Linked DNA regions of Xenopus tropicalis. The protein of the gene in region 2 interacts with the protein of the main gene of each other region in a pairwise test. Links are inferred from orthologs where the notes say so. Each region holds a gene or a part of one and is shown on either strand. Other genes may lie near its edges.

The links. The genes of interacting proteins can lie anywhere in the genome.
Region 1: the proteins of ube2k (region 2) and rnf114 interact in binary tests that used the Homo sapiens proteins (3 or more experiments, as listed by UniProt). The link is inferred for Xenopus tropicalis from reciprocal best matches to the Homo sapiens genes UBE2K and RNF114.

Annotation. Positions count from the first base shown.
Region 1 is NC_030686.2:36,174,150-36,178,238, forward strand, and holds the start of rnf114 (E3 ubiquitin-protein ligase RNF114), read left to right. Parts: upstream 1-1,289; 5' UTR 1,290-1,331; coding exon 1,332-1,456; intron 1,457-4,089. UniProt on the Homo sapiens protein: E3 ubiquitin-protein ligase that promotes the ubiquitination of various substrates. In turn, participates in the regulation of many biological processes including cell cycle, apoptosis, osteoclastogenesis as well as innate or adaptive immunity.
Region 2 is NC_030677.2:36,220,719-36,224,882, forward strand, and holds the start of ube2k (ubiquitin-conjugating enzyme E2 K), read left to right. Parts: upstream 1-1,358; 5' UTR 1,359-1,469; coding exon 1,470-1,532; intron 1,533-4,164. UniProt on the Homo sapiens protein: Accepts ubiquitin from the E1 complex and catalyzes its covalent attachment to other proteins. In vitro, in the presence or in the absence of BRCA1-BARD1 E3 ubiquitin-protein ligase complex, catalyzes the synthesis of 'Lys-48'-linked polyubiquitin chains.

The DNA of each region.
Region 1 (4,089 bases), on a different chromosome or scaffold from region 2:
ACAAACAGTAAGGGGAGTGTTAGCATATCACTAGGTCCGCCACATAGTGAATAAGAATGTTTATACATATGTCTATGAAGATTTTCATTCATCCAGGTCATGGTATATCTAGTATAAATAAATTTAAAGCAACTGGACTTGTTTGGTAATCATTGAAGACGTTTCACTACTCATCCGAGCAGCTTCTTCAGTTCAACTGACTGGTATGGGAAGTCCTCAGCATATATACTCTTCCACTAATCCAATCACAATGGCACTTAGTAACTCTTCAGAAAGGTGACATCTGAAACTCACAGAGGTGTGAATGCTGTGGAGTTACTTTGAAAGGATTACCAAAGTATCATGCAACTCTTCAAACAGGTGTTACTTGTTAGAGTTGCATGAATGCAACACCCAAAGAATCCAACACCAAAGGAAAAACAGAGCAATGTTGTATACGCAGTCCAGTGTAGCGAGGAGTGCACAGACCTGTACATTGGTGAAACAAAGCAACTGCTCTCCAAGCGAATGGCTCAGCATAGGAGGGCAAACACTACAGGCCAGGACTCTGCTGTATTTCTGCACCTAAAAGACAAGGGACACTCCTTTGAAAATAGCAACATCCGCTGGTTTTAAAGAGGTGTAAAAGAGGCCATTCATGTCAAAGTGGAGAAACCATCCCTTAACAGAGGCGGGGGACTTCGACACCATCTGTCTGCTACATACAATGCTGTTCTAACATCTGTACCCCGGCAGTTTCAGAACTCTTCACACATCCATTCATGCAACTCTAACAAGTAACACCTGTTTGAAGAGTTGCATGATACTTTGGTAATCCTTTCAAAGTAACTCCACAGCATTCACACCTCTGTGAGTTTCAGATGTCACCTTTCTGAAGCGTTACTAAGTGCCATTGTGATTGGATTAGTGGAAGAGTATATAAGCTGAGGACTTCCCATACCAGTCAGTTGAACTGAAGAAGCTGCTCGGATGAGTACCAAACAAGTCCAGTTGCTTTAAATTTATTTATACTAGATAATGTTTATACATAGTACTTTTCTCTAATGACTGTACTGCCTCAACACACTACCACCATTGAGACTGTATCCTAAAGTGACTTCTCATAACCAGTATTATGACACATAACTAATGGTACAATCATTTATTAGAGATTTGCCATAGCGAACTAGAAAAACAGATTGCTGACGCCAGCAAGGTCTCTTCCCACCCTCTCTGACTCTATAGGTTCCACAGATCACGTGTCACAGTACTAACCAGCGTCACAACGAGGCTTGGAACGCGGGTGTTTGAGGAAGTGATAGAGAAACTAAAGAAGGGGAAAGAAGTCTTAGATGGCGGGGCAGCAGATGCAGTCCAGCTCCGGGGGAGCCCAGGACAACGACATTTTCGACAAGTACACCTGCCCCATCTGCCTGGATCTCTTCGACACCCCAATCAGAATGGTCTGCGGACACGTGTAAGTGCCTGACTGTCTGTCCTAAGCGGCTGTGTACAAGATCCCAAGGGAGATACGTGGGTCTTCTCTGGTGGGAACTTGCCGATCAGGGAATTTTAACCTGTCAATCTGGTAAACTACAACTCCCAAAATCCCATTGGCAGCCATTGGGAGTAGAAGCTGTATCTTATAGTCGGCTTCCCTAATGTTGCTATAACTGCCATCATCCCCTGACATATAACGAAGGCTTACTGTCAGTTGTAGTTCTGTAAGATATGAGGACCCAAGAGTAAGACTGCATACAAGCTCAAGATCTGTATGTATATAACTCCCATGAACCAGGGATATTTGTAAGTGAAACTAAATAGATAGCTACATAGGGTTGAAAAAATACCAGAGTCCATCAAGTTCAACCCTTCCAAGTAAACCCAGTTATTGCTTGTGGCAACACTATCACTTTCACTTTACATTTCTCCAAGGCTTGTGTTCTTATATAAGTCAATTTATATTGAGTTTCACAGCATGAGTTCTTTTTACATGAATATGTTCCCAAAAGTAACATAAAGCAGGCTTTTTATCAAGGAAAACAAAAATATTTCAATACTTGGGCTACAATGGTATATTTAACCTATAAAAATGCAGGTAGCCTGATTTTACAACCACTGCTGGCTGGCAGAGTCTGATGGGAATTGTCATTAAGCAACAACTAGAAGAGGGATAGGAGGAACTTCCAGTTAAAATGCAAATCTTTCTCCAAATGCTGTACATGCCTAATAAAATAAATTGAAATTGAAATTAATTTTTCAATACACATTAATTACAGACGTAATAGCTATTTAAAAGTGTGTCTGTTGGTTCCTTTCTATTCTCTGCCCTGGTGGTTCTAAAATTTGGAAACAATGTAACAGAAGCCAGTTGAACAGACTTGGGCCAGCCCATGGGTTAAAGGAACAGTAACACCAAAAAATGAAAGAGCTTTAAAGTAATAAAAATATAATGCACTGTTGCCCTGCACTGGTAAAACTGGTGTGTTTGCTACAGTAACACTACTATAATTTATATAATAAGCTGCTGTGTAGCCATGGGGGCAGCCATTCAAGCTGGAAAAAAGGAGAAAAGGCACAGGTTACAAAGCAGATAAGTTCTGTAGAATACAATAGTGTTTTATCTGTTATCTGCTATGTGCCTGTGCCTTTTCTCATTTGAATGGCTGCCCTCATGGCTACATAGCAGCTTATTTATATAAATTATAGTAGACTTTCTGAAGTAAACACACAACTTTTACCAGTGCAGGGCAGCAGCACATTATATTTTAGTTACTTTTATACACTTTCATTTAGAGGGGAGAAACCAGGTGAGGTATGGTGCGGGTCAAGGTTTTCTTGACCTGCACTTCACTATTACCAAGAGGTATGCAGGACTTACTGCTGATATATTGTTACAAGAGATGTAACCAGCAGTGCTCAAATGGACAAACACACACGACTTTTAATAGCAATTGCATTTATACACAACTTTAAAACCATTGGCAGTTGTTACTAAATGTATATTGGAAAGCCGCCTTTTCTTTCATTATGCAAAATGTTTATATTTGTGTTTGCTTCCCCTTTAGAGGGTGGCAGTTACAAAGAAACCAGTTTGCATCTGTCCCATCCTTTGCAGAAAGGAAAAATACAACTTGTATGGCACAAAGTGTAAGACTCAATGAAGGGGCTCAATCAAACAGTGGTGTAGGGTTCGCCAGGTTCACTTCAATAAGTACCATGTAAAAATAAAAAAATCTACTGGAGAGCCAAATGCGTTCTGTGTTGTTTAGAGATGCTTAGTATTTAGAGTGCTATGCATCTCTAAACCAATAAACAACACAGAATGCATTTGGCTCTCCAGTGGATTTTTTTATTTTTACACCATTCTTTGAATAACTAATGCATTCTACAAAACCAGACACTTTGTGTCAGTAAATTCACAAAAGCACAGTACAAAGCTATGATTTTAGAGTTTTCATTTTAAGAACCACTGTGTTTGGTTGGAACAATGTAGCGGAAGGCAACCGTGCAGTATTTTTCATAGCTAAACTAGCCAAACCGCTTCGGCTACATTGTGTTAAAAGTGATACTACCTGGGTAAAGGATACAAATCACTTTAGAATCAGTAAAAATATGTAATGATTGTATAGTGGAATTTTATTTAACTTTTCAGTTTTTTGGGGGTTTATATCCCCTTTAACTGTCAACTAGTCACAGAGTTTCAGGAAGTGGCGCAGTTTTATGTGTGGGCGGACAGTGTGTCTTGGCCTAGTGAGGAACAGCTGTCTGACCACATATATACCCACATCCTGAGACACAAAGTGATATAAATGGAAATTTGGGGCATGAACAGCAGTGGACTTCTGTAATGATTAACCCTTCATGGTCTGTAGATTGTAGTATCTACGTGTGCAGTATTATATTGACATTGAGTGCCAGAATACAGGGTATTCAGTGCAGGATCTCACTTGCTGAAAGTTAGGCAGCACTTAATGGGTTAAAGGGAAATTTCATCTAAATAATTTTGATTGGCTGTATGGCTTTTTTTCTCTGATTTGATAAACGGTAAATTACTACCCTCCCCAGGACCATGGATGCAAAGGGCACATTTCCTAAAATATATTACAC
Region 2 (4,164 bases):
TGACCGCTATGGTATCATAAAGACTTTATGTCACATAATCAGTCCCAAGTCTCTAAAGCATTTGAAAATACCTTTTAAATTAAGAATGGTGGCTTTTAATTTTCCGCCAAAATTAAGCCATAATGACACATTGTAAAAGGTGTTACTATTTAAAGGTAATTTCTTTTGGGATGAGCAGCACCCCTTTAAGCCAGAAAATTAACTGAACTATGGATATACAGATATAGAATTCAAATCGAGGCACAAGGTATCTCTGGTGGTGCATTTATTTTAAGTAACTGGCACCACCCAAGGTATTAGCCTTTCCTTGTCCTTTAATAACTGTAGTGGCATGTATCATTTAACTGGCTGGCCTTTGCTATATTATCCAGATAGCATCTCTGCTTAGGAAAATGCACACAACCAGTGGCATGAATAGATGTCACTTGTCCCAAAAGAATTCAATTTAGGGGCCCAAATCGTTGGTAAATTGACCTATCCTATCAAGATATAGTAAAACTGCTCACTATTCAGGGCCGTGACATACAGGGAGATTAGAGCTGCCATGACAAATCTCTGTTGTTGCGGGCGACTAATCTCCCCGCAATGCCATCCCACCGGCTACAATGTAAATCAGCGGTAGGATGGCATACGCAGCGCCGCCATTTGCCAAAGTCGCCTTGAGAGGAAATGTCGGTGACTTCGGCATATCGCAGTGCCGTGTATGCCACGGGATGGCATTTGTTGTGGTGCAACTAATCTCCCTATGTGTCATGGCCCTTACTGGGCCCTCTACACTCCAGGGCCCCCCTGCAACCACATGGTCTGCCTCCTTTGTAGTTATGCCCCTGCTTTATTTTTTTTCTAGATAACAGATGTAGGTCATGACCAGTCATAGGACTTTTGAAAAGGAAGAGAACAAAAAGTTCCCATACAGCAGACTAAGCAGGAACTTCTGGATTTCCAATACGAGTCAGGTGACTAATGCATGTTGTGGCATATCTATTTTGCTGAGACAAATGCTTACTAGGGGCAGGTAGTCAGCCCATCCTCTAATAAGAATTGCATAGCTCTGGCAGGCTACGACCTTTGGTTTCATAGAAATCTGCTGCTAAAGCCAAACTTTACAACACTGCACGACTCTTCTGTTTAGCGCTGGGGTCCAGTGACACATCACGTGACTGAGCCCTGCATGAATGGAGCCCGGGGATTCTGTGGCGCGCTGTTACGTCTCATTTGTGGGGCGGGCCAAAGTGACGTGAGCAGGGACCCTGTCAGGAAGTTCTTCCTGTGGGCCGCCCAGACTCTTGTATTGCGCATGTGTCAGGTTCGCCATTTTGCAGTGTACTGTTGTGCTAGGTTTCGTTGTGCGGGGCGGGGGAGGCAGAGCACACAGGGCCGGCACTGCACGGAGGGAGGAAGCCTGGCGTACTTAACGTGCACTGCAGCAATTTAAGGTGACTCAGTCAAGTACGGAAACTGGGGCAATTATGGCGAACATCGCAGCACAGAGGATCAAAAGGGAGTTCAAGGAGGTGCTCAAAAGCGAAGAGGTGAGAGGAGACAGAAGTGCGTCTGGCTATATACAATGAGGGGCAACAATTGGTGACAGTGTGCTTAAGATAAATCCAGTAAACTGCTCTAAAGAGGTAGTATAGAAGGCTGCCACAGCCAGGCATGCCATGGGGAGGGACTATTGGAGTGTATTAGAGACTGATAGGGAGAGGGACTACTTGACTGTATTAGAGACTGCCTTGGAGAGGGACTGCAGAAGTGTATTAGAGACTGCCTTGGAGAGGGACTGCAGAAGTGTATTAGAGACTGCCTTGGAGAGGGACTGCAGAAGTGTATTAGAGACTGCCTTGGAGAGGGACTGCAGAAGTGTATTAGAGACTGCCTTGGAGACGGACTGCAGAAGTGTATTAGGGACTGCCTTGGAGAGGGACTGCAGAAGTGTATTAGAGACTGCCTTGGAGAGGGACTGCAGAAGTGTATTAGAGACTGCCTTGGAGACGGACTGCAGAAGTGTATTAGGGACTGCCTTGGAGAGGGACTGCAGAAGTGTATTAGAGACTGCCTTGGAGACGGACTGCAGAAGTGTATTAGGGACTGCCTTGGAGAGGGACTGCAGAAGTGTATTAGGGACTGCCTTGGAGAGGGACTGCAGAAGTGTATTAGGGACTGCCTTGGAGAGGGACTGCAGAAGTGTATTAGGGACTGCCTTGGAGAGGGACTGCAGAAGTGTATTAGGGACTGCCTTGGAGACGGACTGCAGAAGTGTATTAGGGACTGCCTTGGAGACGGACTGCAGAAGTGTATTAGGGACTGCCTTGGAGAGGGACTGCAGAAGTGTATTAGAGACTGCTTTGGAGGAGAATTACAGAAGTGTATTAGAGACTGCCGTGGAAAGGTACTATAGGAGTGAATTGGAAACTGCCATCAAGAGACTACAGGATTGTGTAGAGACTGCCATGGAAAGGGACTGCAGAAGAGACTACAAGATAGTGGTGTGGGGGTCAGGAAAAAGTCAACCTGCAACTGACCGTATCCCACAAATTGTTGCCGATATAGGATTTGCATTTAAAACACGTACTTGCGTCTTTCTACATTGTTTGCTGCTCTCGCCTTAGGTTCCAAGGAAGGGAAAGTTCAGGAGCAGAGGTGCTTCCCTAGTCTGACCCACACCCAACCTGAACCCACAACACCCCCCAACCCTAACCTGCCTGACCTAAGGGTAAAATGCAGGTTGTGGGTCAACCCGCTCATCACTACTACAAAAGTATGTTAGAGATTGATAGGGATAGGTTTGACATGAGTGTATCACGGGCTGCCATGGAGTTTTTTTTATGGGAGTGTATTAGGGACTGCCTTGGAACGATTTGACAGGAGTTTATTAGAGACTGCCATAGAGTGGGGCTGCAGAAGTGTTTAGAGTCATGTAGAAGGTACTAAAGGATTGTATTAGAGACATGGAAAAGTAGGACAGTTGTGTAGAAAAGACTGCAGTTCCCTCTGGCTCTCCCTTCCAACTTTTTCTCTCCTTATTAATGGCCCTTGAAATCCATTCAGTGAAACTTCAGAAATGAAATCAAAGGGGGATATTTATCAAAGTATTAAACTACAGCTTGCCATAGTCAGCCACAGTGAAATTTCCCTCATTATATTAATTTCTATTCAATTAGTGAAAACATATTTATCAAAGTGTAAACTCATTTATATGTATTGATAAATATACCCTCTAAAGTTTCATATTAATGTATAAAGAGTAGCAGAATTTCACTCTTGCAGACTATGATGACTTCTAGATTCAATCTTTGGTAAATATGTGGCTTCTGGTCATAATCACTGGGTAACTCTGTGAAACAGTGGAGTGCAAATTTGTTAACTGTAACTTTCTCGTGTGCGCTAGATCAAAGGCTGGCATTGCCGCATATCCTCCTGCCACTTTATGGAGAAACTTTCATTTGAGACAGCGTGCTGCCCATTCATTGAGAAGCTGCATCTAAAAATTGTTGCAGTTACAAATTAGGATTAGTAATATCGCTCACCATATTAAGAAATACACATTTTCTAATGTTATAAAGTAATTGCTTATTTCTTCTTTGTCCTCCATTTATTTTAGGTTAAGCAAGGGCCACAAAAGATTTTTAGAAAGTATCATAACATGCAGCACTACACCCCGTTTGTCTTCACTTAGCTTAAGCTGCAGTGTTCACCAGAGGTTTTTAGTGGTCATTTCTGCAATTTTACTTTCTCCATGAGCAGCAGAAGCTCCTAGCCCTGGACATAGGGCTAATGTATTTGATCTGCCAGATGGGTCAGTAGCCTGCTGACTCAATCAAGAATCGCAGCCAGTATTTGCCCTATGTATGGACACCTTAAATTCTGAACCTTTTATTAGGCTGAACCTGGTGCAGCTAGTTGGATTAGAATGCACATAATATCTCAGTGATACTAAGTGATATTTAGTAATACACATTGCTTTTTTTTTTGACGAGGGTCTGCTCAAGTTGTGCAAATAGATAAGTCCAGCTATGGCTACAAGCAGCCACAAAAGCTGTCTTGACTTCTTAGTAGAAAAATATATCCCCTTATTTTATTTTCATTTTCTTTATTGTTGGTGTATTTATTGGAATTTGGTAAATTATTAAAAGGGGAATAACACTCTAAAGTAATTTTATTTAT